Mus musculus: one gene and its partner. The protein of the gene in region 1 interacts with the protein of each later gene in a pairwise test. Links are inferred from orthologs where the notes say so. Each region holds a gene or a part of one and is shown in the gene's direction. Other genes may lie near its edges. The genes, in order: Gtpbp3 and Parp11.

The links.
Region 2: the proteins of Gtpbp3 (region 1) and Parp11 interact in binary tests that used the Homo sapiens proteins (3 or more experiments, as listed by UniProt). The two-hybrid records come from large-scale screens. The link is inferred for Mus musculus from reciprocal best matches to the Homo sapiens genes GTPBP3 and PARP11.

The regions. Positions count from the first base shown.
Region 1 is NC_000074.6:71,486,981-71,491,586, forward strand, and holds the start of Gtpbp3 (tRNA modification GTPase GTPBP3, mitochondrial precursor), read left to right. Parts: upstream 1-1,747; 5' UTR 1,748-1,807; coding exon 1,808-1,860; intron 1,861-2,090; coding exon 2,091-2,338; intron 2,339-2,447; coding exon 2,448-2,534; intron 2,535-3,354; coding exon 3,355-3,557; intron 3,558-3,674; exon of another isoform or gene 3,675-3,914; coding exon 3,915-3,987; intron 3,988-4,085; coding exon 4,086-4,229; exon of another isoform or gene 4,230-4,444; coding exon 4,445-4,606. UniProt on the Homo sapiens protein: GTPase component of the GTPBP3-MTO1 complex that catalyzes the 5-taurinomethyluridine (taum(5)U) modification at the 34th wobble position (U34) of mitochondrial tRNAs (mt-tRNAs), which plays a role in mt-tRNA decoding and mitochondrial translation.
Region 2 is NC_000072.6:127,491,457-127,494,897, forward strand, and holds the end of Parp11 (protein mono-ADP-ribosyltransferase PARP11), read left to right. Parts: coding exon 1-279; 3' UTR 280-2,805; downstream 2,806-3,441. UniProt on the Homo sapiens protein: Mono-ADP-ribosyltransferase that mediates mono-ADP-ribosylation of target proteins. Plays a role in nuclear envelope stability and nuclear remodeling during spermiogenesis. Inhibits the type I interferon activated signaling pathway.

The DNA.
Region 1 (4,606 bases):
AGGGGATGCTAAATATGCCCGACACCAAAGCTTACACATCGTTAAATAACAAATAGGCCTCAAAAAATAAAGCCACTGATTAAATGAATTTCAGATATACTGGTATGTTCTGACAACTACACAAAGAAATGTTGTTTGTCTGAAACTTTTATGTTCTGGGTGATCCTAGGTGGGAAGGGAGGCTGTCAAAAGTCCAGCTTGCTGGGAAATGCTCAACCACAAAGCTAAGCCTGATACCAGATTTTTAAAGAATGTTTGTTTGTTGTGGGCAGGAGCGCTTTGGCGAGTGTATGGAGGTGAGAGGACGGACACCTGTGGAAACTGATTCTTTCCACCATGTGGGTCCAGGGGATTGAACTCAGGTCGTCAGACTTAGAAGCAAGCACCAAAACCCACAGCCCTGATCTCCCATGTTTTCCCACTTCAGAGTGGCCCACCCTGAAGTCCTGTGAGCACTTAGTAGGTAATGAGCACTTGCTCTAAACGTGTTAAGATGGAACCACGGGGGCCGGGCACTGGTGGCGCACGCTTTTAATCCCAGCACTTGGGAGGCAGAGGCAGGCGGATTTCTGAGTTCCAGGCCAGCCTGGTCTACAGAGTGAGTTCCAGGACAGCCAGGGCTACACAGAGAAACCCTGTCTCGAAAAAAACAAAACAAAAACAAACACACAAACAAACAAAAAAGATGGGACCACAGGAGATGGACAACGTCACTGTCCCTGTTTCACAGACTGAAAGTAGGGCAGATGGGAACCTGAGGGCTTTGAGACTATACTGTACCCGGCAGCACTAACTAAAGAGCGCCCGCCCGCACAAGTCGAGAACCAGAGAATTGGCAGTGCGAGGGCGCTCGCGAAGCCCCGCCCGCCCAGAACCTGGTATTCGAGCCTGCTCCTTCACCCCGCAGTTCAGTGCTGTCCCGGGTTAACCCGAAGTTAACTGGAGGCCCCAGGATGCCTATCCCGGAACACACATCGGACCTGCGGCCAACCGGGACCCCGAAGAGGGCGGGGAAGCCAGGGCTGGAGCTGGGCTGGAACCGCCAGAAAGGCTTCCTTGCCTGGGGATGGCGCCTGGCTAAAGATACTTGCCCAGGAGCTGCAGCTGGCAAAGATGGGGTAGCGGGGATCAGTGAAGAGACACAAGAAGGGCCAGGAAGAAACTTCCCAGAAGTTTGGACCAGATTTTCCCTGACCTAGGGCGTGGCTTCTCCCGGAACTCATCCCCTGCAGTCACTAAGATGCTTTGAGTTTTCTGTCTCTAACTGGGTGTAGAATACCCCGACCCCACCTCCCTCGTGATGGTGAAAGGACAACTTGCACAAGTCTGGTCTCCTTCACTAAGCTGATCCCGGGGATAGAACTCAGATTGTCAAGTTTGGCAGCAAGTGCCTTCTGCGCTGCCTTTCATGGACTTTACAGTCGGAGCGCACACATAGCTTCTTAGCTTCTCTAAGACTACGGAATGGGCACAAGGAAAAGAAGGGCTCGAACCACCGCTGAGATATATCCTGCATTTTCTTCCTCCCACTATTGTGTCAGATACCTGTTGCTCTAGGAACCGAAAACTTTGCTCTGTGTTTCCGCGGGACACTCTTGCGTTGTACACACCCGCATCCCAACTTCGTTTCCCTTGGATCAGCCAATAGGAATCAAAATCTATAGATAGAGGGCGGGACCTCCTATAGGCGATCCAATGGTAGTTGAGAGTCGTACCGCTAAGTCACACCGCAAAGGGGCAGGACTTTCTTCCCGAACTTGAAGCCCTGCGGGAGTGTCGGCCAAGGTGCTTGCAAAATTGGAAATCCATGTGGCGTGGGCTGAGCGCCCTGGTGACCCAGGCGGCGTGGGCGCCCCTCAGGTGAGTGGCACGGACCCGCTGTCACGCGCTAGACGTTGCTTTAGGACCCAGGTTTGCCCCTGAAGTTCCAGACCCCGTTCCTCCTCCCGCAGCTGCCGTGTCTTTCCAAGCCCATCGCCTGGCCACCGCTCGTACAGCTTGGGCATCAACGGGCGACCATCCCTCCGTCCATGTTCACCCCGAGGCTCGGGTTTCTGGATGCGCTTACTCGTTTCCTTTCCGATCTCCAGGCTGTGCGCACGCTGCAGCACCAGTGCAGAGTCCTTAGTCCCCAGCAGCACCATCTTCGCACTCAGCTCCGGCCAGGGACGCTGCGCCATCGCAGTGATCCGCACCAGCGGTCCAGCTAGCGGGCTCGCGCTCCGCAGCCTCACGGCGCTCCAGGAGCCGCCTCCTGCCCGCAGAGCCTGCCTGCGCCTTCTCCGCCACCCGTGCTCCGGGGAGCCACTGGACCGCTCACTCGTCCTCTGGTTCCCAGGTGAGGGGCCGGATCCGGGAGCCCACGGCGCTCGTGTCCGGGTCTCAGTCCCCTCCAGGAGTCAGCCCGGGTCGTGCCCATCCCCTAACTCTGCTTTTTTCCATACAAGGACCCCAGAGTTTCACGGGTGAGGATTGCGTGGAGTTTCACGTACACGGAGGTCCTGCGGTGGTCAGCGGTGTCTTGCAGGCATTGGGTGAGGCTCTGTTGAGTGGCACTGTTCCTGGGGGAGACTAAAAGGTATTGGAGATAGACTGCAAAACACATTGTCATTTGGGAGAAGAGATGTATCATATTAACCCAGGCCTTCTAGATGACTCTGCCAGTAAAGGTGATTGTTGCCAAATGTGAACCCGAGTGGTGAAAGGTGAGAATTGATTCCTGCAGGCTGTCTTTTGACTTCCTGGTGTCACACACACACGCAGAGACTTCAGCATGGGGAGGACTTTGAGGAAAGCTCAGACTCAAGTGCATGTTTGGTGGTAGTTGTTTGGAGGAAGTGCTAAGTCCTATTTAGGGAGTTGATGAGTAGCTGGTACGATGTACCAGCGTACAACCAGGCTTTCTGTGATTTCTGGGTGGTGGGGATAGGGAGGGTCTTGCCTTTTCAGAAAGAATTGTGTCACCTTTACTTAATGTGTGTTCATCCAACAAGTTTGCCACAGGAAGCCCCTGATGGCCAGCACTCTGTCAGTCTGGGGCCTGCGTGTGTAATCAGCACTGATGGGGAGGGGCAACTGCAGGTGACCTCAACAGCTTGCTGGCCTGGGTTCTAAGAGAGATATCTACATCCCCCAGATGGGGTGTGGTGGTCACACCCAGTAACTGACCACTGACCCATTAGGGTCCAGCCCAAAGAATCAGTGAGCTTCCTGTGATTCCTTACAGGATCAGGGGACTCTGACGAAGTTGTGTCACCTGAAAACCCACCTGGGGTTTGGTTTGTTGCTCTGCTGGCTGTTACCTGCCATTGGATGGGGACTCAGGAGCTTAGGCCTTGTGATGCTTTCCTGCAGGTAGTGTGCCAGGACTGCGGCCAGCCGAGGCCGGAGAGTTCACCAGGAGGGCATTTGCCCATGGCAAGCTGAGCCTGACTGAAGTGGAGGGACTGGCAGATCTTATCCGTGCAGAAACTGAGGCCCAGCGTCGACAGGCTCTGAGGCAGCTGGATGGGGAACTGAGCCAGCTCTGCCAGGGCTGGGCAAAGACTCTCACCAAGGCAAGCCTGCATGTTCACCCATTCATGTGTTCTCTTTTTCTCTTTAAGATTTATATTACTTATATTGTTTATGTTGTGTTTATGAGTGCTCTATTTGCTTGTATGTCTGCACACCAGAAGAGGGCATCAGATCCCATTACAGATGGTTGTGAGCAACCATATGGTTGCTGGGAATTAAATTCAGACTTCTGGAAGAGCAGCCAGTGCACTTAAACCAACAAGCCATCTCTCCAGCTCCATCCATGCATCCTTTAGAGAAAGTTCTAGGCCTGTGAGAGGCCAGTCTGGTTGTATAGATCAAACTGGAGTTAGACCTGAGACTGAGAGAGCACCTGTGACATCTCCCCTCCTCCCCAGGCTCTGGCCTATGTGGAGGCCTACATTGACTTCGGAGAGGATGATAATTTGGAAGAGGGTGTGTTGGAGCAGGGTATGTCTGGTTTTGGGGGAGTTGGGGCTGGCATTCAGCCCCCCCTGAGACCTTGCTGATAGCTCTCCCCCCCCCACCCCGCCTTTTCCCTCTCACAGCGGACAGAGAAGTTCGAGCCCTGGAGGTGGCGCTGGGTTCCCACCTGCGAGATGCTAGGCGTGGACAAAGGCTCCTCTCGGGGGCAAATGTTGTGGTCACTGGACCTCCCAATGCGGGCAAGAGCAGTCTGGTGAATCTACTCAGTATGTGGGGTTCAGGAAAGGATGGGATGGGCTTCTTCTGGGCAGGGGTGCAGCATCCTAGGGTTGCTGGACGCCTCCTCCAGCTGCAGCTTCCTGGACACTGTGGTGGCCCCACTGGTAGCTCAAAGCTACGAGAGTGGCAGACAGCGCCTCCTGAAAGTGAGGGCTTTTACCTCCACTCCGTGGTTCTTAATCACATTGTCCCTGACATTCAGGCCAAAAGCCAGTGTCCATCGTGTCCCCAGAGCCTGGGACCACCCGTGACGTGCTGGAGACTCCCGTGGACTTGGCTGGGTTCCCTGTCTTGCTGAGCGACACTGCAGGGCTCCGGGAAGGCGTGGGCGCTGTTGAGCAGGAGGGTGTGCGCAGGGCCCGCC
Region 2 (3,441 bases), on another chromosome or scaffold:
TTCTGCAAAGATGACATCAAGCACGGGAACACATTCCAGATTCATGGGGTCAGCTTGCAGCAGCGACATCTGTTCAGAACCTATAAATCCATGTTTCTTGCTCGAGTGCTAATTGGTGATTACATAAATGGAGACTCGAAATACATGAGACCTCCTTCCAAAGACGGGAGCTATGTGAATTTGTATGACAGCTGTGTGGATGACACCTGGAACCCAAAGATCTTTGTGGTTTTTGATGCCAACCAGATCTACCCTGAGTACCTGATAGACTTCCACTGACCCTGCCTCCCAGGCTCAGTGGTCAGAGCTTTGCTCTCTCATTACAGGAGGATTTGATCCTCTGTCTCCTAGCCACTAATATAAATATTGGATTCTTTTGAAACAGATACAGAAAAGAAAGCGGCCTCAGTATATAAAGAAGTACTGGCTGTCAGGTTGGTTATATGTTGTTCTGTTTCTGTCTGTTCCGGTTTTGTTAAAGACCGATGCTGTTGCCATCTTAACATACAGGAGAAAGAGCTACTTCTCAAAACAGAATAGGTTGAGTCTCTCATTACCATGATCAGACAGTCTTCAAAGTGCACACGCATGTGACCAGGTCAAATGATTTTAGTTTTTGTACCCTATTAGGAGAACTGGACTTTTATAAATTGAATTTTGGCATTATTATCTATCAATGAACATGTGACTTTGTTGGTCTTCTGAAGGGGGAATTAAAAATCCCGAAACAGCCCCTGGTGCTCAGCGAAGTAAGAAACAAGGACATTGTCTGCTGTGCTGGTAGGTAAGCCAGCAGAAGAGAGACAGGGCAGAGCCTGCTTCTCACTGCTAGAGGAAAGTGGTCTGTAGCCCCAGAGCAGTGCACACTATTCTCACCCATCTCCCACAGTTGAGCTGAGCACTGCTGCTAAGGGTCACTAGCTCACAGTTCAGCTTCGAGCAGTCTGTCGTCCCTGCCCCAACTTATTTATTTCCTTTGTTTTCCAAGCCCTGCAGAGGCTTTATTGGTCCTCCCACAACCCCTGAGACACACATAGCTGTTCCATGGTGATTCCTAAGAACCACACGTGTTAATAGTTGGTGTCATTCTCTTTTGAATGATTGTGAAGAACATGAGATGCTGGGAAGAAGTCTGATTTCTTCTTTAGAGTAGTGATTGACAACTTCCAACCCCTGAGCAGCTATGTGCAACTGAGAGTTGTGCTCGTGGCTTTGTGTACCTGTCTGTTTGCCTGCTGTTCTGTCCCAAAGAGGAAGTGATCTGTACCAGCTAACTGCCCAGCGGTTTTCTAGCAGAGATGAGATAGCACTCAGGCATGATGCTAAGTGTTCAAGTGTCAGACAGGGAGCTGCCTGTATGATTGTCTCCCCAGCGCTGCTTTTTCCCTGATTCCTTGTGGGGAAGGAAGGTCATTCCTCCAGTCATATCACCCAGAACCTTTTCCTAGCTCTCAATACTGAATCTTGTCTCTGCTATCCCCATCCAGCTTTGGGTTCGAGGACTTGAGCACAGGTTAGCTTCTGGTGCCTGTATTGTTCTCTTCAGTCACTCAAATTGGGAAGCATCTAGAAAGAATATATGTGTGAAACAGGATTATGGATAGTGGCTTTTGTAAGGATAGCCATTCATTCAGCTTTGTAAACCATCAGATTCTCCTTCTGGCCCAGAATGTGTGTTATCGCACAGTGGGAAGTACAAGAGTGGCTCTCGGGAAATTATGCACAGTGCTTTGGCACACGGTGGCAGGAATGACTCCCTGGCTCAAATGTGGAGGTCCACCATTGGTTTAAGAAAGGCTAGAAAGGACGCATTTCAAAGCCACCAGTGGTCCCTGCAGCAGTGCCTGAAGGCAGAGTGGCTAGGTTGCCTGGCCGCTTTCAAGAATCAGTGTTAGAGGCGTTGGGAGTTCAGAGTGAACAGTCTCTCTTCTAGTTCTTTTCTCCTGGTTTTGTTTTTGTTTGTTTGTTTGTTTGTATGTGTGTGTGCGTGTTTGTTTGTTTTTCCAGACAGGGTTTCTCTGTGTAGCCCTGGCTGTCTTGGAACTCTCTCTGTAGACCGAACTGGCATGCAATGTGTTAAAGTCCCTCTTACATGGCTGTCTGCCCGCCTTCCTCTCCCCCCCACCCCCCAGCTCCATGCACACTTCTCTCAATACTTGAATGGAATGATTGTTGTAGTTGAGGTTGTTTCCTTCTAGACCTGTGCATCCGTGTCAAGGTGACTGAGAACGCAGGCAGTCTGTGCAATCACTCTCCCGTGTTGGCATGCATGAGGGAGGTTGGGGGGGGGGGTGTCAGAGAGGCCACCGTAAAGAAGCATTGCACCGCTGTTGTTGGGACAGACTGCCAACCCCCTTCATAAGGAAGACGTGATCTCGGTACGTGTTTTAAAATATAATAACGTAGAAGTCACTCGTGTTAACGTTGTACTGTTTTGTCTGTTCCATGTATAGAAGAACATCACTCCCTCTGCTCATCCCACGGAGTGGGAGGGAGAGCAAAGGGAGCTCGTGCAGAGTGGCGAGCTGTGCCGCAGGCTGGCTGAATAAACTCCATTGAGTACAAACTTGTCCTTTCTCTGCGGGGAGTCTAGCCTTTGGGTAAAAAGAAATGTGTTTATGGGAAAATGTTTTCCTGAATCTTTTATCTCCCACCAGGAATGTTTGAGATTAGTGGATTATTTCATTTCTAGACTGGTGGTGGAGGTGGTGATGGAGAATTCTGATATTCAATGTCTGAGTGTATTGTTTCTACAATTGTTGATTAAAGTTTTCTGTATCAGGTCTTGGCTGCCTGTGTGTGCTATATGTGTGCTTCTGGTTTCTGGGTCTTGGTTTCAACCTGAATTTTCCTCTCAAACTTCTTAGACTCTCAGGGAGTTCTCAGTAGATGTTGCTCTGGGGGCACTTCTTGGTCTTAGTTTTGGTCGTTGTGAGCAATAGCTGATCAAGTAACCTGAGGATGAAGATATGTCCTCGGCTCTGTTAGGAATTATGACTAGATCCAGGCCTGGTGGGTACATTACACTTCCCTTAAAGGTTCCTGGCTCAGAGGATCAGTTGTAGGGGTATGCCAGCCACTCCCACTCGCTGGCACTCCCAGCAATCTAAGATCAGCTTTGCTAAACAGAGCAAAGGGCAGCATGATAGACCTCGCCTGTGACCGTGACAGACATCCCCAAGATTGCGTCTCTGTCTGTCTAAATGTTCAACGGTAGTAAGCTTCACGTGATAAAATTACGTTGAGTTTTGGTTGGTAGTTAAGTGTACCATCTTCATGGGTGTTTCTGACTCAGTGGATCTGAAGAGATCCTCTGAGATCAACTGAGAAGTGATCTTATTCTGTCCCTGGTGGTGTGCCTCTCTTCACATTTCCTTCTCTCCTCGGAGAAAGGGGATCTTGCTTATTCATCTTTATTTCCTTTCTTTCTTTCTTTCTTTC